Arabidopsis thaliana: one gene and its partners. The protein of the gene in region 1 interacts with the protein of each later gene in a pairwise test. Each region holds a gene or a part of one and is shown in the gene's direction. Other genes may lie near its edges.

Evidence for each region. Proteins that work in one complex are often made in the same cells at the same time.
Region 2: the proteins of ELIP2 (region 1) and ALE2 interact in a protein complementation assay, tested with the Arabidopsis thaliana proteins (one large-scale study listed by BioGRID).
Region 3: the proteins of ELIP2 (region 1) and CLE3 interact in a protein complementation assay, tested with the Arabidopsis thaliana proteins (one large-scale study listed by BioGRID).

The regions. Positions count from the first base shown.
Region 1 is NC_003075.7:8,415,485-8,421,584, forward strand, and holds ELIP2 (Chlorophyll A-B binding family protein), read left to right. Parts: upstream 1-2,757; 5' UTR 2,758-2,888; coding exon 2,889-3,023; intron 3,024-3,117; coding exon 3,118-3,219; intron 3,220-3,300; coding exon 3,301-3,645; 3' UTR 3,646-3,841; downstream 3,842-6,100. Other genes in the region: AT4G14695 (Uncharacterized protein family (UPF0041)), read left to right, coding at 4,349-4,403, 4,626-4,724, 4,811-4,863, 4,961-5,034, 5,313-5,361. UniProt on the Arabidopsis thaliana protein: Probably involved in the integration of pigments into the mature light-harvesting pigment-protein complexes.
Region 2 is NC_003071.7:8,753,374-8,764,347, reverse strand, and holds ALE2 (Protein kinase superfamily protein), read left to right. Parts: upstream 1-4,049; 5' UTR 4,050-4,502; coding exon 4,503-4,575; intron 4,576-5,122; coding exon 5,123-5,227; intron 5,228-5,318; coding exon 5,319-5,429; intron 5,430-5,579; coding exon 5,580-5,948; intron 5,949-6,029; coding exon 6,030-6,287; intron 6,288-6,366; coding exon 6,367-6,756; intron 6,757-6,866; coding exon 6,867-7,092; intron 7,093-7,170; coding exon 7,171-7,873; 3' UTR 7,874-8,496; downstream 8,497-10,974. Other genes in the region: RIN13 (RPM1 interacting protein 13), read left to right, coding at 1,265-1,594, 1,970-2,056, 2,145-3,020. UniProt on the Arabidopsis thaliana protein: Required during the differentiation of the protoderm into shoots epidermis and cuticle.
Region 3 is NC_003070.9:1,901,909-1,908,776, forward strand, and holds CLE3 (CLAVATA3/ESR-RELATED 3), read left to right. Parts: upstream 1-4,009; 5' UTR 4,010-4,066; coding exon 4,067-4,318; 3' UTR 4,319-4,390; downstream 4,391-6,868. Other genes in the region: MEE5 (Ribosomal protein S5/Elongation factor G/III/V family protein), read left to right, coding at 1-809, 921-1,019, 1,133-1,291, 1,408-1,493, 1,578-1,776, 1,855-1,965, 2,057-2,263, 2,577-2,675; GTE4 (global transcription factor group E4), read left to right, coding at 5,718-6,868.

The DNA.
Region 1 (6,100 bases):
CCAGTTCAAAAATCGAACATTATCCAAGAATACGTCGATGTTCGACCAGCACTTTGCTCATGAGTCATGACGATATCAACTTGGCAAATTAATATTGTAATCACGTGAAGGACCATGCGACATCATCATCATCATTTGTGGGGTAATAACATAAAACTAATGCCGGCTTAAGAAAAGTGTGTTCATTTCTTAAACTTAAATCACATTTGGAGGACTCATTATAGAGCTCATCACCTTTGACCTGACTTTATCTTGACCTGAAGCTACCAGGAATTTATATCTGAACTTTTGTTTCCTTTTTGACGGCGAAATAATTTGTTTAGTATAAGTTTTGTCCATTCTTTACAGGTCAAAAACATAATTAATACTAATAACGACGATATTTTAATGTTTCCTCTTGCATGAAAAAGCATTGAAAATGACGGAGTTGATTCACTTTATTGGTGGCTGCTTTGGGCTCACATTCAACATGTGCCAATTAAGAATTCTGAGGGTCGACCTACCCATCCTCATTCACTCATAGCGACAATTCAAAACAGATCTACTGGGGCTTTAAATAAGGGTAAGGCCTTGTTCCGAACTGGGCTTTAGTAAGATATTATAACATTTCTGTTCCAAATACAGTACATCAAAACTTGAATCTAACTTATATCAACTTCAATAATCATCAATTCATCAGTTAAAAAAACTCCTTCTTTCATGGTTTAGTTTATCAAAGATATGCATTTGATTTATAAGAAAACCCAAAGAGTATTTGTTACCTAGTCGTCCCCGGGTTTCACGGGGTTACAATAAGAGAAACAAAATGGGCCACATAATATTTATTTATTTAGTGATTCTGTCGTTTAAAAAAAAATTAGTTTAACACATTGTCAAAGTTTGAACTAAGGAACTTGTAACTCAAATACTGAAACTTTAACCATTAGACTACATTTTTATGCAAATTCGGCCAAAACTAAATAATAATATGATTAGCGGCCGCAAGCTTATGTTTTGCTTGCTTGGCCTTGTGGCCGGCTAAATAACCTAAGTATATAATCAATAAATTACATAAACGACCGGATAAATCAGAACTTAATTATAATGTTAAAAGTAATTAAATGAATGATGACCCTCGTCGTCTCTCCTCTTAAAACACAATAATCTCATAAATACAATTTTTATATGAAGTCTTCACAAACTACTATAAATTTCCCAAAGTTGTTCTCTCTCTTTGTCCACTCGAAGACTCATGGGGATAAGAAGGCACTCGTGTTATGGGCTTCGGGGCTTTTTATTGTTCGCCCTTTCGAGGACCTTCTCACATGTTTGGACTTTTGAGTCTAAATGCCTTATTTCCTCACGAATGACGTGAACATTTTTTCGTCCTGAACTCAAAAGTATCAATTACACACTTCACACTACTAATGGTCAAGTTTTTTCGTATTTGAAACTACAAATGTAAGTAATATATGCGATAAATTTATTATCCTCTGCTAGTAAAATCCATTAAAAAAAACTACCAATGTGGGTGTATGTTTTCTTTCAGTATATATAAAGAGTTTTCGCAGAGAGCACATATCGATGGTGGTACATCAAATCTGATCATTCATATCTAAATAATTGTTGTTGAGTTTTCTATATGTGTGGAACGTTAGATTGCTTAAGCTAGAAATTGACACAAGAGTTTGATCACCGAGTTCCTGCCTCCTGGCCTCTAACCGGTACGTCTCGGGTGGGAACTGTCTCCCACAACTTTTCACTATCAAGCAAAAAGTATTACAAGCACTAATAGAGGTTTCTCTTCTCCTTGTTACAAATTTAGAAATTAACTCACACACAAAAGACAATAGAAAAGGAGACTATACCGACACGAAGACTATGCCCATATCTTCACAATTGTGCTATTATTTACCGTTCTAATCTGGAAAAAAAAACAGCGCACGTAGGAGAATTGGGCACGAAGACATGAATGGGACACATAAAGGATCAAAAGAGTCATCATGGGTCTGCCATGATGAAAGTTAAGAAAGTTCCAATACGCGCGAAACAAGATTGAATGCGACTTCTCTCTATACCAAAAACGAATCTCCCAAGTCCCAAGTGAATATTGTGAGCCACTAACTTGTTATTAACATTTTGAGACAAAAAAAAAATTTGTACGTGTTTTTGCCAAACCCACTTGGCCATGACCAATCAGAAAAAGACAAGGAAGATGTGTATCTATGTGTAATGAGGAGGCCACGCCATCAGTTTACTTGCACTTTTCCAACTAGACGTGGCCTCTCACCGATCTCAACCTCACTTTCCTCTCATTTCTCAAATTTTATTGGCTACGTGTTTTTGTGTTTAGCGTTCAACCCAAATATCGATATATTCTTCTTTTTTTTTCACATTTTTAACGATTTCGAGCAAAATAATTCGATTTATTTGTATAATTTTAATATGGTAGTTTTACAAATAATGAAACGAATGACCAACTGATTTGTTAGGTGTTACAATAAATATGGAAAAAATCTCATAAGTTTGAAAACATTTATTCTGAGGAAACTTTTTCTTCCCCAAAAGAAAAAAAAAGTTTAAAGTGGAAAAAAGAAAAAAAAGGAATAAAAAGTTTGAATTCAGTTTTTTTCTTTTCTTTGATAGATTTCTTTCTACTTATTTATTACTCTACTACACACCACACAAAAACAAAAATAAAATAAGTAATCATAGTATCCCATAAATCAGTAAAGATAAATAAAATCCAGAAAATACTGGGCCTATCATTTTCCTTCACCAACTCTATAAATGAAGAGATAATCCTACAGTTACACCTCAAACCAACTCCATCTCACTTCTCAAGTCTTATAATTTATTCATTTCTCTCTTCTTCATCGATCTTCGGCTTTTAGAAAACCTAATCAGAAATGGCAACGGCGTCGTTTAACATGCAGTCAGTGTTCGCTGCTCCTTCCGGTGTATTGACTACACGCAACATCAGAAACACAAACCAACTCTTCTTCAAGAGGATTGCTCCGGTAGGAGTCAGATGCATGGCTCAGGTATATATACACTAACCTCATAGTCCTTCCACTTCCCTACGTTACTTATTTGACTTTTAATCCTGACCGTTCCTTACATTGACTATTTTTTTAGGGCGATCCTATCAAGGAAGATCCTTCTGTGCCCTCGACCTCGACTTCGGCCACTCCACCACAAATGCCACAGTCTCCTCCTCCACCAGTTAGCAAGCCTAAGGTATGATCTAATGATCAAAGTCATTAATATATATCACTAGCTAAAAAAATGAAGCTAATGAATAATTTTCTTATTGTCTAGGTGAGTACGAAGTTTGGAGATTTGCTAGCGTTTAGCGGTCCAGCACCCGAGAGGATCAACGGGAGACTAGCAATGGTTGGATTCGTGGCGGCCATCGCCATGGAGTTATCAAAGGGAGAAAACGTGTTTGCTCAGATCTCTGACGGTGGTGTCGGGTGGTTTCTAGGAACAACAGCGTTGTTGACGTTGGCATCGATGGTTCCGTTGTTCAAGGGAATAAGGGCAGAGGCAAAGTCAAAAGGGTTCATGACTTCAGACGCCGAGCTATGGAACGGTCGGTTTGCGATGCTCGGTCTCGTTGCGTTGGCCTTCACCGAGTACGTCACTGGTGGGACTCTAGTCTAAAGCTAAAGCTTTTTGTTTGCTAGTTTAAGGACAAATTTGGAGAATGATTATGTAACGCATAGATTGATTTAATACTATGAGTTTTAAACAGTGTGTCAACATGAATCAAAATTTAAAACCATGAAAAAAACATTATAAAAATTTATTTGAAAAAGTACTTCAAAAGTTTTCTTATAAGATAATGTGAATGGAGAAGAAGAAGTAAAAAATAAATTTTAGCTTCTATCCAAGGTTTGAGAGTTTATGCATTCTTTTGAAATGAATCAAGAGCCAAGAATAATTAATTATGCTCTTCCTTGTTATTATCGACCAATAGAGTCATCATGTGTCTGCCATAATGAAAGTAAAGCAAGTTCCAAGACGAAACGAAATTGAATGCGATTTCTCTCTAACAAATCACCTCATCTCAATTCTCAAGCCCATGGGTTAGTCTCATCAAAGCCCAATCAAAGCGTCAATGCTTCCCAAGAACAAAAAAAAATATATTAAGATGAACAAACAAAAAAACACTTAAAAGAGGAAAGATCTGGCCACTACAACACTACACGATAGTACGATCGATGAATATAATCGGAAAGATTTGAGTGGCTCAATTACATATTGCTTATACGACGTCGTTTTGAGTAGCATCATTTCGTTAATATTTATGTAGGAGACTGAAACAAGACAGAGAAAAGAGAATCTCCGAGGAAAACAAAAGTTGATGGCGACGTCTAAGCTTCAAGCTCTCTGGAATCACCCGGCAGGACCAAAGACAAGTGAGTTATCACATTGTTTCATCAATAATATATTACTCTTTCTTCTTCCGTTTCAATTAAGACTCTATTGAAACGTTACTATTGGAAAATGTTGAATTGTTTATAGTACAGTTCTTGACAAAAAAAAATCTATATCACTTTAAATCCTCTAATGAATAATATATTCTAATTGTAAACAGTTTCTCTCTTTTTTTGTTGTTGTTGTTGTTGGGTATTAATCAGTTCATTTCTGGGCTCCAACATTTAAGTGGGGTATAAGCATTGCTAACATTGCAGATTTCCAGAAACCTCCAGAAAATATTTCGTACCTTCAGCAAATTGGTAAATAACTACTACTCTTCAGAAATCTCTAATCTTTCTTGTTACAATTATTGTTATAAACATATTATCCATAATTATTGTATTAGCTGTGACATGCACTGGAATGATTTGGTGTCGTTGCAGCACTATAATTACTCCTGTAAGTTTTGTTTGCTTTTCGAGTTTTACTTTTGTGATTGGATTCTTGGTTTTGGTTTATCGATCTGATTCTTTGGACTTTTGTTTTTTTTTAACAGAAAAACTGGAACCTGTTTAGTGTTAATGTTGCTATGGCAGCTACAGGGATATACCAACTTACTCGCAAAATAAAGTGAGAATCAAACCCACTTTTTTGTTTTGCTTGTGTTTTAACATAGATAACAAATTCATCAGCTTACTATATAAAACATTTCTTTTGCTAAGTTAAACGCAATCAGAAAGGTTTGGTTTGGCGTTTACAATCAGCAAAGGAAATTTTGCTTAATATGTAATGCAAACAAAGAGTCGAAGCTATTTTAAACTCGATTTTTATGATGATTGTCTATGATAGTATGATTTTATCTTTTGATACATCAATGAAATGCTTATTAACTTTTTTTTTGATATTAGGTATGATTATGTATCTGAAGCAGAGGCTGCTGTTGAAATTGAAGGATGATGATGATGAAAAAGATGAAACATTTGACATGTGAAAATGTTCGTTCATTAGTACTGTCTTGTTAATGGACCTCTAGTAGCATATGCCAATGTTTGGATTTTTGTTAGATAGTGAATGGTACGTTACATGCTTGCTAAAGATTTTTATATTATTTGGGACAAGATTGATAGTTGAGTTTATGTAAGATTAATCAGTAATTAGATCAAAATAATAACTCTATATCTCTTAAAAATATGTTACCTCTTTATCAATGACTAGATGAGTACCCGCACTACGTGCGGGTTTACGTATTATTTACAAATTATTTTATATAATGTTTGTTCATATAAAGTAAAATTGAATGCATAGGTTTTGAAACATAAATATGATTTGTAATTGTTTTTGAAAAGCCCAACTATATTAGTTCATCTGAAAAACGAATGTGATTGAATTGTTTTTATTGTTGTTTTAGATTCTCAGTTTTTTTTTTGAATTTATATATCCTTGCTTTTTCAGTTATATGTATAGATTGTGAGACGGTGAAATTTTAGAAAATTTATTTCTTACACTAAAAATATAACATGTCTTTATTAATCATATCTCTGCATATTCAATCTAAGCATATTCAACTTGATGTTCTTGGAAAGTTTAGTTAAGTTCTTGTCATAATCTTATATCTTACGTATTAGTTATAAGGATAGCTCCTCAAATATCTTTCAAATTACTTGTTTTCTTAGCATAGATCTCGAAAAGCTTAGAT
Region 2 (10,974 bases), on another chromosome or scaffold:
TCGGATGACTCGGATTCCGGAATAATTTAAATGAATCTTATACTTGATTACCTCATAGTATTAACGAACGTTAATGTTGATTACGAGATTTGACTTTGTAGAAGTTATGGATAAAATTAAAAGAAATTAAAAGTCTTTAACCAATATATGAAAAACTAAAAGTTCAGGTCCTAAACTTGTAAGCGTTGAAAATTTGGAATTGACTTTGAATGTGGCTTTACCAAACCCAACGGTTGAATATTGTTTTAAATGTCTCTCTCACGCGCTACATTCTTCCTTCTATCTCAGCCGTTCGATTTGACTCTTACGAGATCTCTTTGACTTGAATAAAAAATAATCATTAATGTTAATTTTGTTCTTAAATGCAATACATTATGTATTATTCGTCCGATTGTTAACAATAATGAAAAAGTTTAGTAAAAAAAATCGTTAACAATACTAATATAGCTATACGAAATAAAAAATATTAATACAGAAAGTTGAAAATATATATCGCCAGTTTTTACCAATTTTGGTACTGGTTTTATGATTGAAATAATAACACTTATACCACCACTATGGTACGAATTACTAATCAAGTTGAAACAAATATCAACAAATTTATATAATAATAAAAAAAACTTATCAACAAATTCTAGGGTTTGATTTTCATGAAAATATTGTTAGAACGTGCACATAACACGCTAAACGTTGGATATTAATAAGGAGATGCGGAAGCTGAGGCATTGATACCGTGAAGTGAAGGACCCCCTAGGCCGCACATGCACTTTGTGTCTTGGGAATTGTATTGCTTACATAAATATTTCATCCGTTTCCTTACAACAAATTACGAGTTTTCCTAAAAGTTGTTTTCTGAAGCAAAGAAAATGATTTGTTTTAATATTGTTTTTACATAAAAGGTTGGGAAGAATTTGATCATCAAACCAAACAAATGAACAATCAATGAAAAACATATAAATCCATCAATTTCTATAATCAGCCCAGATTCTTTTGAGTTGAGGCCCATTAGGCCCATATTCATCATATACCCGTTCAAAACTCGTCATTTCATCGTCACCACCACCAGTACAACATCCGCTTTTTGATTCCAAACCAAACCCTAATTTCTCAGCTCGAAGTTTCCATTTCATTGCTTCTTCTTACCTCGATTTTTCCCGGGTATTAGAATTCGGTCAATTTACTGAATTATAGTGTTCTCACATGCCAACTGATTCTACTTCAAAATCGCTGCGAATTTCTGCGATCAGTTACGAAAATTTTGTCAATGGGTTCGGGTAATCATGTTGATATAGTCGATGTGAGCTCAGGCGAAGAGGATGTCGATACACGGGGAGACGTAGAATACACCGATTGGCTAAACGGTGTTATGGAACCCGTCGATGATACATCTGACAGTACCGATATAGTCGAGGTTCTTTCTGAGGTTAGAGGTGGTGTAAATTCTCAGTATCGGAAGCCAAACTCGTCGAATCAAGCTTTGGAAGATGATGACGACTGTGTGATTTTGGACTGTGATCCCGACAAGACGAGGGAGACTACTTCAGTTGACGACGACGATGATGATGATGTGCTTGTAGTGGGTCAAAAGGGTGAGGTATGTTTTCACTGAACCCTTCTCATTTCTAAGTTCTCTTTCGTTTTCTTCATTCGAATTGGTGTGAAAGGCAGAGTTTCTCATTTCAGATTATGTATGCGTTAGTGTTGTTTAGCTCTGAGGAACTGTTTTAGGAATGGATAGTTATTGAACTGTTTTGTGTTATTGTAAAGTAATCGTTGTAACATTGATGAACTTTTTTTCTTTGGTGATGGAACTGTTTTAGGAATGGATAGTTATTGAACTGTTTTGTGTTATTGTAATTTAATCGGTGTAACATTGATGAACTTTTTTTCTTTGGTGTGTTCCATCTTTATACAAGTGTTGTTCACTTAAGTTTTCCTAATATGAAAAAGCATTTTTTTTGTTTTGTAGATAGCATGTAGAGATTTCCCTCATCCGCGACATTCGTGTGCTAAGTATGCGTTCAACTCAACATCACATGAGAAGTACTGTGACATGGTAAGTATCTAAATATTCTCTAATTCTACACGGAGCGTTAATGGATTCTTTTCCTGGCTGATCCTTTTCATTTGGTTTCTCTTTCAAGTGTCATTGTTATGTGTGTGACATCCGTGCTCCGTGTCCATACTGGTGTATCGCTGTCTCCTCCATAGATCATTGTCATGCTAATGATAAAGAGAAGATATGGAAGAATCAACGTGAATACTTCAGGACAGGATACATGCCTACCGCACCATCTTCAAAACCTACTCCAAGTATTTTACGGGTACCCAAAAACACTTTGCTTCGGAAAAACCATGTTGAGATCCGGCCTTGTTCATCATCTACCCGTGTTGCTAATCCTTCAAGTGTCAAAGCCAGGCATAGAATCAGGCAACCGATTCCGCACAATCAAGGGTTGCAGAGTCAACCGGCACAGTCATTAAGCACTGTTCGCGACAGCGTGATCCAAAAGGATAGAAGTTCTTATAGGTTTAGCCTACGATCCCGAGTAGCCTCTTCTGCGGGAAATGGTATCAGCATCCGATTTAACAATGCTCAAGTTTCACAATCCAGTCACCATAGCTCTTCCACAGTGGCACCTACATTAAACCCGGAAACGTACACTCAACAACGCAATGTTCGTGATCATTGCACAGCGCTACCTGGTTCTCAGAGCAACGTGTTCACTCGACATGCAGACCAGAACATACGTGGTAGTGGAAATCGTCAGTTTCAGACAAATGTGGATCGGTTTGCTCCGTCCAAAGCTCCTCTTACTGCTGAAGATTCGCATACAGCTACGGTACAACAGCAACCAGGGATTAATGAAAACGTCTTGGAGACCAAACTATCGGAATTTGAGAAATGGCTAATGGAAAATCCTAACCCAACCGGCCCTGTTAGTCCGTTACCTGAACCGGGAAATCAAGACTATGCTAGTACGTTGTCATTTGATTTTGAAACATTTTTGAATGATTGAAAGATTCATAAGGGTAGTTTGTATCTCCGTCCCTAGGTTAACTCTCTTCACTGATTGTATTTTGTAGAGGGAGTGCTGTAGTTTATTACAATCTCGATTGTGTGTATCATTTAATTAGCTGCTACTAGTACATCATAAAATTAAGTCCTAAAAAGTACCTGTTTGCCAATTGACATAAATAATGTTTGTTGATTTGAGTTTTTTAAGGTCAAAAATCAAACATACCATCATTATCACTGCCTGTTTAAATGATTAGGGAGGGGAAAATATCCATGTAATGTAAAAGAAGACAATCAACAATCGAAAAGCGATAGATATAGAAAGAGGCACACACATATGGTCTTGATTAAATTTGATCAAACTTCTATTTTGCCTAATAGACAAATAGTCCAAATTTATCAAAACCGGAAAAACATTGTTATATTTTGGATCAAAATTACTTCTACCATCATTTAGTTAGCTTTTAATATTTTAGAAACAATTGAATTTTTGACCCAAAAAAAGAAACAATGGAAATAACTGATAAAGTCTTCTTAAAAGTATAGGAAATTTTGCCAAGTATATAGTATTAATTTTGGAAACAAACACGAAAATGGAATAGTTTTGAGAGTTGATACTTGTCATTTGTGGAATTATTACTATTACTTTTTAATGTAAAATATTTCGAAAATAAACTTTTAACAAAAGTAAAATCCGAAAATACTTAGTTTCCAAGTTTATAGAAATCAAGCCCAGCCCATTTGGGGTTTTTAATTTTTTTTTTTTTTTTTTTTTAAAAAAAAAAAAAAAAAAAAAATCAAACCCAAAACGATTCCGTTTAGTAGGCTAAAATTCAAGTAAGTCCCGGCCCAATAAGGCAACTAACGCCCAAAAAAGAAACGGTTTTGTCGATGTGACGGTAGCAAACGGCCACCAGTTTTGTCGTTTCGATGTGCGTGGCCACCACGCGCATACGAAACCGCGTCGGTGTTCGCTAACGCCATCATCATCGCCTTTTTTTTTTTTTTTTTTTTGCCTTTCTCCGAAAGCAGTCTCACTACGGCAACACACTACCCTACGCCCCCTTCCCACCATCAGCATTAAATTCTCTCTCTCTCTTCGCTTCTTCTGGTTTCGAATTCACTTTACTCTCTTCGCTTCCAATCTCTCTCTACCACTCTGATACCTTCGCCGGAGAAGAAGCTCTCGTTCTCTCTATCGTCGGAGAAGCTCTCGTTCTCTGCTTCCCTGCTCTGTACAGATCTCGAGCCGCATTTCGTGGATCTGTCAAAATCGCGTTAAAACCTACTCGCTTCTCTCTAACCCTAGGGTTTTTGAATTTTTTTCGGGACGAGGGAGAAATCAATGTCTGTGAAGCTTTGAGGAAGCTATATGGTTACACCTTTGGTTCTGGTTAGTCTTCGTTTTGATCGGCGGAGAGTGTTCGCCGAGGCTTGGTGTCTCCGTTATTGACTAATGGTGGTTTTTGATTTGAGATAAGAGATGCGGAACTTTGCGATGCTTCTGCTGTTAATTCTTCTTCTTCACTCTCTCGCCTCGTTTCCTATATGCTTTGGTATGAACTAGTTAACAAATTTCTTTTCCCCTTTTCAAATTTAGGAAACGATTTTGATAGGAGAAATTAACCTTTAGTTAAGTTGCTCTTACTTTGACAGCTCAAGATTAGTTGGTGGTCTATCTATATTTAGAATTGTTTATTGGATTTAGATATATTTAGAAGCTAATTTTGGTTATGTACAAAGTAAGCAAAAGAGTTTAGATTATTTAAGTTTGGAATCTGTGATTGTGAAGCGTGAGAGTGAAGATCAAGTCCTCACGTTTTGTGCCTTAATTGGCACACAACCTTTTAATAGCTAGAATGCACATAGATCTTACTCTTTCTTTTCTGAGTATCTTGAGGAAATATCGATTTTGTGTGACATTCTCTTGGCCAAATTTTATCCTCTACAGTTGGCATTATACTTTTAAACCCAAGAGAGGAGGATGGAGTATGCATACTATTAGAAACATTCTATTTTTTCGAAACTTTTCACTGCTATGAATATTCGACATGTGTAGAAAGAATCTATAGATGACTTATCAGCTTGCTTTATCATTTGCAGCTCGGTTATTTCCGATGAGTTTGCCATTTACCCGATCAAAGGCGCATCAAATGCATTTCTTTCATCCTTATCTTAATCCATCAGTTGCTCCTACACCTTCACCAGGTCAGTAAGGGAATCCTATTTGTCACCTAAACATAGTGTCATTATGTTTCTGTCTAGGAGTATTCATTGTTCATTGTCTTTCCCTTTTTAGCTTTTTCCCCCAACCCAAGTCGCATTCCACCACTAAGGCACAAGGGTCATCACCGTCATCGTCGCTGGCATTTAAGACGCAATGCCACTGCAGTGTCACCTTCGTCACATGGTAGTTCTTTTGCTTCTTGTTGGTTATCCTGCGTCCTATTATAGTGGCAACGATAATGTTTTATATGAATACTTTTTCTTCAGACTTCAGTTGATAAATCAAGCGTAGTAACTACTTTTTCCTGTGTATTTCCGGCTTTCCTTTTGATAGACTGTCAGCAGACATGTGTGGAGCCTCTCACTTCAACTCCCTTTGGTTCACCTTGTGGTTGTGTCTTCCCCATGAAAGTTCAGCTTCTACTAAGTGTCGCACCTTTTTCTATTTTCCCCGTGACCAACGAGTTAGAAATTGAGGTTGCTGCTGGAACATACTTGGAACAAAGCCAAGTGAAAATAATGGGTGCCAGTGCCGACAGTGAAAATCAAGGGAAAACAGTGGTGGATATTAACCTTGTTCCACTTGGGGAAAAGTTCGACAACACTACAGCAACACTTATTTATCAGAGATTCCGGCACAAGAAAGTACCTCTAAATGAGACTGTTTTTGGTGATTATGAGGTTACGCACATAAGTTATCCAGGTAAACTGATTTCATTCAGATGCAAGTTTCTACTTTTTTTTTGTTTTATTTCAAAGTTTGAACTTCTTAACCTTGCTTCAGGAATTCCTTCTTCTTCGCCAAATGGAGATGTTACTGGAGATGCTCCAGGAGGCCTTCCAATTCCGATCAATGCAACAACTTTTGCCAACAAAAGCCAGGGAATAGGTTTTAGAACGATTGCAATTATTGCGTTGTCAGGTTTTGTCCTCATTCTGGTTTTGGTTGGAGCTATTTCTATAATCGTGAAATGGAAGAAAATTGGGAAGTCATCTAATGCTGTTGGTCCGGCTTTGGCTCCATCGATTAACAAAAGGCCTGGTAATTTTCACCCTCTGACTTCTTAACGCTTCTATAGCTTTAAAAGAACCTGTTTCTGAAAAATTTATTCGCCTTGCAGGTGCTGGATCTATGTTTTCCAGTAGCGCCAGAAGCTCAGGCTCAGATTCTTTGATGTCTTCCATGGCTACATGTGCTTTATCAGTTAAGACCTTCACACTCTCCGAGCTTGAGAAGGCTACTGATAGATTCAGTGCCAAGAGGGTTTTGGGCGAGGGCGGATTTGGTCGTGTTTATCAGGGGAGTATGGAAGATGGAACTGAGGTTGCAGTGAAACTGCTAACTAGGGACAATCAGAATCGAGACCGTGAATTTATTGCCGAAGTCGAGATGCTAAGCCGTTTGCACCACCGCAATCTTGTGAAACTGATTGGAATATGCATTGAAGGTCGTACACGTTGCTTGATTTATGAGCTCGTCCACAATGGGAGTGTTGAGTCCCACTTACACGGTGACATATTCTTTTCTCTGCACTTTTAATAACAATATATCCCAATTATATCCATCACTTCTCGTTGCATCACCACCTAAAACCTGGCTTTCCGGTTGTTGACAAAACAGAAGGAACGCTTGATTGGGATGCGCGGTTGAAGATTGCACTTGGAGCAGCGAGAGGACTGGCTTATCTCCATGAAGATTCAAATCCCCGAGTAATCCACCGTGATTTCAAGGCTAGCAATGTTCTCCTAGAAGATGACTTTACCCCAAAAGTCTCAGACTTTGGACTGGCAAGAGAAGCAACCGAAGGAAGTCAACATATTTCAACTCGAGTCATGGGGACCTTTGGGTAAAATTTCTTTCCAACTCAAATATGATGAATACAGACACTCTGGACTTACAGTGACTACCCTGGAAATAATTTCAGGTACGTGGCTCCTGAGTATGCAATGACGGGGCATCTCCTTGTTAAAAGCGATGTCTATAGTTATGGTGTAGTTCTACTAGAGCTTCTAACCGGTAGAAGACCAGTAGACATGTCTCAACCTTCGGGAGAGGAAAACCTTGTGACATGGGCGAGACCCTTACTAGCCAACAGAGAGGGCCTGGAGCAACTGGTGGACCCTGCATTGGCTGGAACCTACAACTTTGATGACATGGCGAAAGTGGCTGCGATTGCCTCCATGTGCGTCCACCAAGAGGTCTCACACAGACCATTCATGGGTGAAGTTGTGCAGGCACTAAAACTTATATACAACGATGCAGATGAGACCTGTGGTGATTATTGCAGCCAAAAGGACTCATCAGTACCAGACTCTGCTGACTTCAAAGGCGATCTGGCTCCTTCGGATAGCAGCTGGTGGAATTTGACACCTCGGTTAAGGTATGGTCAAGCTTCGTCGTTCATAACAATGGATTATAGCTCAGGACCACTAGAGGACATGGAGAACCGGCCTCACTCTGCCTCTAGCATTCCAAGAGTAGGAGGTCTTATTCTACCAAACAGATCAGGTCCGTTAAGACCCATGCGTAGTAGAAGAAACTTCTTTAGACTGAGAGGAAGCATGAGCGAACACGGTGGACCGTCGTCGTCTAGACATCTCTGGTCCGGCAATGGTGACTGGCTCTGAGAAACCAGAAAATGTACAGTGAAGAAAAGGGAAAAGGAGGCTCACAAACTCTTGAGCTGCATGGTTAGGTTCTGGTTAATCCGGCCAGGTTCGGTTCATCTGGGTAAAGATTTCCGGTTTGATTTCTTTTAGGAGCTGTTTGTTGTTATGATTATCCTCAATAGAGATTTAATTGTTTGTTTTTGCGAGGATGCAAAAGCACAGGGAGGGTTGTATTTTGAAGGACGCCTGTATTTAGTTCTCTCCTTTTCTCTCTCACCCACAAAAAAACATTTTTATATATTTTATTTTAGTGAAGTTAGTAATTACCTAATTTTTTTTAGTTTTTCAAGTTCCTAAGAAATTTGGCTTTTGGTCATCGTTGTTAAGTTTCCGGTTTTCTGAATTTACATCCGAAATATTTTTTGGTTAAATAAAATTCTGGCTTGAGAGTAATTGGCTGGTGAATGGTAACAAGTCACTTGGTCAAAGCTGTTGTAATTCTTTTCTAATTTCTAGTATCTTCTGTAGATTGGACACAATGACATGGATTGTTGATCTTTAAAGTCGTAGAGTATAATTTGATATGTTTGTCTTTCTTCCTCCATATCTTCTTAATTCCTCCTTCCACTTCAGCCAAACCGAAGCTTGCTTTCGAGTTTCTGAGTCTTCTTCATTTTGTTATACAACACAGTCTAAAGAAAGAAAATCTGTAGGCCCAATAAACACAAAAATCGATTTATGGGCTAAGCAAACAACGGTCACAGTGGCTGAGTAAACGGAAGAGAAAAAAATATTTTAAAATTTTGAATTTAAAATTAATAAGGTCTTATTGGGCCTACATTATGAAACCTATCTAATCTCTCGAGATATAACAGTTGAGGACAAAACGCTAAAATCCGTTTGCGTTTGGTTTATATTGGCAAAAGCAAAATAATTTTTAATCGAGGAATATGTAGGAACGTCCGATTTAAGTATCTGACTGATCAGATCAACGTGACCAAACGAACCATGAAATGAATGCTACTGGAACCCAAAGTAAAGAACAAAGAAACTAGAATTGCTAGTTAGTATTCATAATATTAATAGTTAGTTTTTTAAGAAGTTAATTTTTTTTAATTGCTAAATATTTTTAATCAATAGTTAGTTTTTTTTCTTATATTATCAATTAAATATTTATTAAAATTTTCAAAATTACCGTGCAAAATTTATACTAAAAAATTATATACTCAATTGTTTTTCATATTACTTTCTTATGAAACTCATATCGTCATATGTATTGAGTTTAATTGTAATGATTTATTTTCTAATGAAAATAAGGAGTTAATATTTTCCAATTGATATGTATATGTGACGTATGAGCGAACAAAAAAGAAGAAGAAAATATATTTGTGGTTATATAGAAAAGAAAAATGTTACAAAAAATGGATTGTACCGAAGACAAAACCTCATGAGTCACTTAAGTAGAGAGAGAAACCAACTGAGCCAACATATCATTCCGAGTTTTGTTTTTTGTGTCTAAACCATAATTTCATGTTTGTGTTGTGTGAAAGCCATGGAAGCCGGCGGGAGCAAAACCAAGAAATGAGTTGCTTGCTACAAGAGGTACAATTCTTATAGAGAATATGTTTTTCACATCAAGATTGCGTTCCATTCGATTCATCAGCCTTAGTGTGGGGTTTGCTTCAAACATTGTAAATCATTCGAATCTGTTCGAGAACACCTTCACGGTATGGCTTGAGCTTATATGATCTTCTTGTTCTCTGTTTTTTTGTTGGGTTGGTGTTTGATTGATGATTATTTTGAACAATGTCAGTTCCGAACCATCCCTCTCGACCATTCAAAGAAAAATGCAAAACCATTTTCGCTGAAAAAGGGTGTGAACTTTGTCTTCAAGTCTTTGTGGAAGCCACTGCTAGGGATGAGCATATGAAAGAGTGTCTCATGTCTTCACCACCTCCTATCCAAAATGCTTCTAGTGCAAGTGGCACACGCGTGATGAGTCTGTGCATATCTAATTTTAGAAAAAACTATTTTGACTCTAGTGGATACAAAGATGTTTTTAACATTATACACTGTTAAAATTGAGTTTTTTTCAATGACTTTATCGAAAACATATTGCGTTCTATAATATTAATCAAAGATAAAATCCTAATAAAACGTAAATATATAACAATTTCTTTTTTTAATGAATAGTCTATAACTTTTCTTAAAATATAAGACTAGTATGTATCATGCTCATAAGATGGAAATAAAAACATGTTAAAATATTAAAGAAATTATAAACTGAATTGGCTTTAGTGGTTATTTAAATTTCAATTAAATTTATTTGATTTAAAAAAAAAGAAAATCTTCTAAATTAAATTGGCTTTAACGGTTATTTAAATTTTGATTGACTCAATTCATCTACAATTATTTTTTAAGAAATTTTATAATTTACAATTTTTTTTTTTTGCCTAGCCGTATCGGTTAGGGTCATGTTGATCTTTAAAATATAAATTTTTATTTGTACGGACCGAGATCAAATATATGCGGGTTTTGCAGACTAACCCAATTGACATGCATATTTGTTCCAATAATTATGTTTGTTCTTTGGATCTTCTAAACTTAATCACTTAGTATAATAATAAAGACCAAGCAGAAACAAAATTTATAGCAAAAATAAAACAAGAATGATTGAAAAAAACAATAGCAATTTAAACAAACCACAAAAGTTTTGTTCTTTCATCCCAATACATAAAAATCTATCAAAAAGTGAAACTAACACCGGCTTTTTCAGTTTCACTATTGTTTTCTAATCATATAGCAGCAAAAGATATAAATATAAACCATGTTCACCGGCAAGTAACATCGACACATGGAAGTGACAAAAAAAATTGTAATAATTATTGCTTAAGTCTCAAGTATGTGGTGAAGGTGTCGCTTAATCACTTAATTTTTTTGTTGTATTTGATTTATCTTCGTATTGTTTACGGAAAAAAAAAAGAAGCCTTTGTTCAAAAAAAAAAAAAAAAAAATGCCAAAAAAATCTCACATGTAATTTCGATTAAATAAACAAATGAACACAAAGTTTACAATTCAAAAGGACCTCACCACAGTTGTTGACTTGTTGTAATATGTTT
Region 3 (6,868 bases), on another chromosome or scaffold:
TAGGTGAACATAAGAAGAGTGTAGAGACCACCCTTGCAGAATTAGGAGTGACTCTGAGTAATAGTGCATATAAGCTGAACGTCAGACCTCTACTTAGGTTAGCCTGTAGTTCAGTGTTTGGTTCGGCATCAGGGTTCACTGATATGTTGGTAAAGCACATTCCTTCACCCAGAGAGGCTGCAGCTAGGAAGGTCGACCATTCATATACCGGAACCAAAGATTCCCCCATTTATGAATCAATGGTAGAATGTGATCCATCTGGACCTCTCATGGTTAATGTGACAAAGTTGTACCCCAAATCAGATACTAGTGTTTTTGATGTGTTTGGAAGAGTTTATAGTGGTAGGCTTCAAACAGGGCAAAGCGTACGTGTACTAGGAGAAGGGTATTCACCTGAGGATGAGGAGGACATGACTATAAAAGAAGTGACGAAGCTATGGATATATCAAGCTAGGTATAGAATACCAGTAAGCAGTGCCCCTCCCGGTTCCTGGGTTTTAATTGAAGGTGTCGATGCATCCATCATGAAAACTGCGACTCTGTGTAATGCAAGCTATGATGAAGATGTCTACATATTCCGGGCTCTCCAATTTAATACCCTCCCAGTAGTCAAGACTGCAACTGAGCCTTTGAATCCTAGTGAGCTGCCTAAAATGGTGGAAGGGCTTAGGAAAATTAGCAAAAGCTATCCCCTTGCGATTACCAAAGTTGAGGAGTCTGGGGAACATACTATTCTAGGCACAGGTGAGTTGTACTTGGATTCAATCATGAAGGACCTCAGGGAGCTCTATTCAGAGGTCGAAGTAAAGGTATCTAATTGTATCTCTAATTTGGCTCTATGACTGTGATTCCGGTGTGCAAGCAAATTGCTGATTTGGCTGTTTGATAGCTAAGATCCTTTTGCTTTCTTAAATTTGTAGGTTGCAGATCCGGTGGTCTCCTTCTGTGAGACAGTGGTTGAATCTTCGTCGATGAAGTGTTTTGCTGAGACACCAAACAAAAAGAACAAAATAACTATGGTAAGAGATCTTCTTTTTCCACTATTATCTCTTATATATTAGACTGCGATGTTTGGTATGGTGCTCAAGCACAATTACTTTGTGAAAAATCTGATATCTGTTTCATGCTAAAGATTGCAGAGCCATTGGATAGAGGACTTGCAGAGGACATTGAGAATGGCGTTGTAAGCATTGACTGGAACAGAAAACAACTTGGTGACTTCTTCAGGACGAAATATGACTGGGATTTACTTGCTGCACGTTCCATCTGGGCTTTTGGCCCTGACAAACAGGTGAAATGCTTGTATTCTTAAAACACTGCAATCTGGGGTTTACTTTATCTTTATTGTTATGGTTGGTTTATGTCTGTTTTGACAATTTCATTGATTGTTGATTTTCGACTGATCAGGGGCCAAACATATTATTGGATGACACCCTTCCAACTGAGGTGGACAGGAACTTGATGATGGCAGTGAAAGACTCCATTGTTCAAGGGTAATCATCTTTCTTCTGTTACACTTTTCTTTTACTCGATTTTGTTGGCTTTAGCTAAGTGGCTTCGTTTTATTCCTCTTGCAGGTTCCAGTGGGGTGCTCGTGAAGGTCCCCTCTGTGATGAGCCCATCAGAAATGTAAAGTTCAAGATTGTTGATGCACGGATAGCACCAGAGCCATTGCATAGAGGATCTGGTCAGATGATTCCAACAGCAAGACGTGTTGCATATTCAGCTTTTCTAATGGCAACTCCAAGGCTAATGGAACCTGTCTACTATGTGGAGGTACATAATCCCTTTCCATTTTTGCTCGTCACATTTTTTCTCTTAAAATGATAACTAAGAGTTATGGTTTTGTCGCAGATACAAACACCAATCGACTGTGTAACTGCAATCTACACAGTTTTGTCACGTAGACGTGGGCATGTCACATCTGATGTTCCTCAACCCGGTACTCCAGCTTATATCGTGAAGGTTAGTTTTGTTTGTGTCTTTTCTCCTTACTTTGTTCCTGTTATTTGACTAAGTGATGATTCATTGAGTATATTCTTTGGTGTTGATGCAGGCCTTTCTGCCTGTGATAGAGTCCTTTGGGTTTGAGACAGATCTGAGGTACCACACTCAGGGACAAGCCTTTTGCCTATCTGTGTTTGATCACTGGGCCATTGTGCCAGGAGACCCTCTAGACAAAGCCATCCAGTTGCGCCCACTTGAGCCCGCTCCTATTCAGCATCTAGCTCGGGAATTCATGGTCAAGACCCGCCGTAGAAAGGTATTATGATTTCCTTTGTTTCAATGCACATCCCAAAACTTAGTGGGTTTCATGCGGTTAAAGATACGAATGAAACCATAAACTGATTTGTTACTCTAGTGTTTGGTTAAATGACCCCAGTAAACCCTCACAAACCAAAGGATCCCCGAAACTACTGTTTACAAACCCGGCCCTTGCTAATTACTCTTTAACCAAGTAACACCAGCTATAATTTGCTGGATACATCCTAGGCTAGTTATATTGTATGACTCGTTGGGTGTTTGGATCATCAGTTTCAGACTCTCACGATATGTATAATTTGTTGGTTATGCAGGGAATGAGCGAAGACGTCAGCGGAAATAAATTCTTTGATGAAGCGATGATGGTAGAGCTTGCCCAGCAAACAGGCGATCTCCATCTGCAGATGATTTGATGATCTCTGCACTTTTTTCATATAAATCGTGATTCAGGACTAGTAGTAGTATCTTCTCTTCTCTATATATGTGAAAGGAGAACAAGAAAATGTGGATCAGTTTTGTAATTGATGTGTCAAATTTACGTTGTAAGTTGAGAGATTTTAATGAACTCAACAGTCCACATGGTCACACTCACACATGACTCGCAAATAGTTGACAGGAAATGTTCACAAATTTTTGTAAAATTGTAAACTACTATTGGATTATGGGAAACTGAACTAGGTTATGACACTATCATTTATAAGATGATCTCATAGTTTGTTGTCTATATGATTAGTAATTATACATATGATACAGAGAACGTACGATCCAGATCCTATTTCCGCAAAGAGTTTTCTGCATAACTAAGATTTGATTCTTCAAAAATGCTAAATTTAAAGATAAACCAGGTCAATGGCACAAACCTATCTAGATATAAGTAAGTTTTTCTTCATAATTTAATTTAGTGCACACAGACGACTTATTTTACTCCAATGAAAATCGGTTAATTCGTCAAACGTCACTACTTGTCTCAAAGATTTGTTGTGCTTTACTATTTTCGTCTATTTCATGCTTCCATAATCAGCTTTTTACGTTGACGTGCTCTTTACAAATCGAAGTGGACGTGGCGGCAACCACTTATACTTATTATACATAGAATAAAGCTACAAAATATATAGTTAAGGCCCTGGTGGATTAATATATACATCGTTTAAGGTTTTAGATTGGTCTCCTCCACCTTATTTTATGTGCATTGCCAACTCTGAAAACGTCATGCCTTATCTTCATTGGTTATATCCATTTGGCTCCATCAACCAAACGACGATAATGATTTTCCACATATCCTATATACATTTGGGTTCGGTAGAATTACTACAATACTCAAATTGCTTTTAATTTATGTTTTAGTTTATGGAATATGAATTGTGAGTTTTTTAAAAAATAATCTCCCAATTAAATATTATTAGCTTTTAAGTTTCTATTTCAAGTGAAATCAGTTAGCTATGCATGTCATTCAATATAGACATAATTTTGTTTTCTTCCATTCGTTTTACAATTTTTAACTAACAGAAATTATACATTACGTCACTTACTACGTTCCCACTAAAAATAGAGGCAAATGCAATCAAGTGATGACGACCTTTCAAAAATAAATATTAAGAGATATATAAGAAGGGACTAGCTAGGTAGATATGACTAGATTCCAACTTAATTAACGTATTTAATTTCTGCATAGATGGACGTTAATTAGGACTTTAGCTTCTCTATAAATACCGTAGCTATTGAGCTTATATATGGAGATCACCCCCTTAAAATCTTCAAAGACTATATATCTCACCTTTAAGAACTAAGAGGAAGTTACATATATATGGCAAGTCTCAAGTTATGGGTTTGTTTGGTCCTGCTTCTAGTACTCGAATTGACATCGGTGCACGAATGTCGACCATTGGTTGCCGAAGAGAGATTTTCTGGTTCAAGTCGTTTGAAAAAGATAAGACGTGAACTTTTTGAGAGGTTAAAAGAGATGAAGGGGAGATCAGAAGGCGAAGAGACGATCCTTGGAAATACTCTTGACTCAAAGCGGCTTAGTCCCGGTGGTCCTGACCCGAGGCATCACTGACACTGACCATAGAAGAATGCAAAAAAAAATGTGTAATGTAACATTTTTGGGAGAGTTTTAATATGATATTACAACTTTTTAACTTATAATGTAATATTCTTATGCTGTAGTTAATTTTCTGTCTTTCCACTAATGAAGCATTTCTGTTTACATGATCTCGTTTTTATGTAGTTCCTGCATGCATCTTTCTTTAGCAAATATGTTCTATTTAAAAAAGCAGCATGTTATGCTTATTTTGAGAGCTATTCCCATTTTCACTAAATATGAGTTCATACTATTCAAGTTAATTAAAAAACACCATTTAGCTTATTTCTTATATCTAAAATTCACAATTATAACTAACAAATAATTACATAGATATACTATATAACATATATCAACATCACTTAGTTTGTATTTGAAATAATCAATCTATATACTAAAAAAAGAAAAACATTACCTTTATAACAAAAAATGAGTGAAACTTTAATGGAATTTTTCACCAGCAGAAATATAGTGAATCTAAAAGCATTCAAAATTTTCTGAAGCAAGATTTTTTTTTTTCAATTGCTTGTCAGCATCACATATTTGTCAGAAATAATGAATAAACTTGACAAAAAATCTTGCTTTAGAAAATATACAAATATTACAATACATATACAAAATATACTAACTTTAAATATTAATTTAATTAGTACCAGATTTAAGAAAAAAATCATTCAAAATTATAAATTGTTTTATTTATTTTACTTGAGTTCTCTCTCTTTTTTGTTGTTGTTGATTACAGATGTAAATGTTTATGGGTAGAGCTTCTTTATGATATACGCGAAATTGATTAGTTTTTAGGCCCAAACCTAAAAAGCATTCCGGGTCGGGTAAACGAGCCAAATCTAAACGCTGGTTCTTTTCTTCTCCTTCTTCTTCCTCTCGCTCTTGCGGCGCCTTCTCTCTCCCAAACTCGCAGGTAACAAAGCTTCCTTCAATTTCTCCTTTTTCAGATCAATCAATTTCCTTCTCTGGTTCCCTTTCCTGACGCAAGTTTCCTCCTTTGGTTTTTGTCGATCTCTAAGCTCAGACAGAGATTCGAATGACCTAATTGTATCCCGTCTTATCGAGACTTTACACAGATTCTTCTGGGATTTTATCTTACACAGTCGTTATCTACTTGTTGCGTCCAATTGATTTCTCTGAATCAGAAACCCTAATTTCGTGGGTCTTGTGCAGTCTCTAAAGTTTGCACACTCTCTCAGAATCGAGCCAAGGTTTCGTCTAGAAATTAGGGTTTCTTAGTTTTTTCATGGTGGAGGATATATTTTAGGCCGATTTGAGGGCTTTCCATCAGTTTTAAACGGAGGAAGTGACGAAAAAGCATCAATCGAGAGCAATTAAGGCGTGAAATTAGGGTTTCTGAAGTATATGTATGGCTTCGGAGCCTGTTAACGGAGGAGAAGGTATCGATGGAGCTAGAGAGAAGCAAATCATCAAAGTTTATAAGAGGAAAGGCAAAGGTCAAAGAAAACAGTCATCTTTCTTTGCCCTTGAGGCTGCCATCGAGAAACCTGAGGGGCTATTAGAAAACGAGAATGATAACAATGATGTGAGTCCTGCCGAAACTCTAGCTCCAGAGTTTGAGGATCCTATAGTTGTGGTGAAGAATTCTATCGAAGAGGCTGCTCTTGGGACTAATTCTCATGGAGACAAAAACTTAACTGAAGCGCCTTCTGAAAACCTGCCTGGTGATGATTCAGACAAAGTCATTGACAAGCCTCTTGTCGAAGCATTTTCTCAAGCTCAACCACAGGATGATGCCAGTTTGGCCGCTATGGACAAGTCTGAAGAAGTACCTTCTCAGATCCCCAAAGCTCAAGATGATGTCAATACAGTGGTTGTTGATGAAAACTCTATCAAGGAACCTCCTAAAAGCCTTGCCCAAGAAGATGTTACCACTGTGATTGTTGACAAGAACCCTATCGAAGCACCTTCTCAAACCCTATCCCTGGAAGATGGTGATACTCTTGTTGTTGACAAGAATCCCATTGAAGTGTCTTCTGAGGAAGATGTCCACGTGATAGATGCAGATAATCTAATAAAAGAAGCTCATCCTGAAAACTTTGTGGAAAGAGATACCACTGATGCCCAACAGCCCGCTGGGCTTACCTCTGATTCTGCTCATGCTACTGCTGCTGGAAGCATGCCAATGGAGGAGGACGCAGATGGACGTATTAGGATACATGTAGCCTCCACAACGAAGCAACAGAAAGAGGAGATCAGGAAGAAGCTTGAAGATCAGCTTAACGTAGTCAGAGGAATGGTAAAGAAGATAGAGGATAAAGAGGGCGAGATTGGTGCATATAACGATTCTCGTGTTTTGATTAACACTGGTATTAATAATGGAGGAGGGAGGATTCTGTCAGGGTTTGCATCAGCTGGACTTCCTCGTGAGGTCATTAGAGCACCAAGGCCTGTAAATCAACTAAGTATATCAGTGTTGGAGAATACTCAGGGAGTCAATGAGCATGTGGAAAAGGAGAAAAGAACACCCAAGGCAAATCAGTTTTATAGAAATTCAGA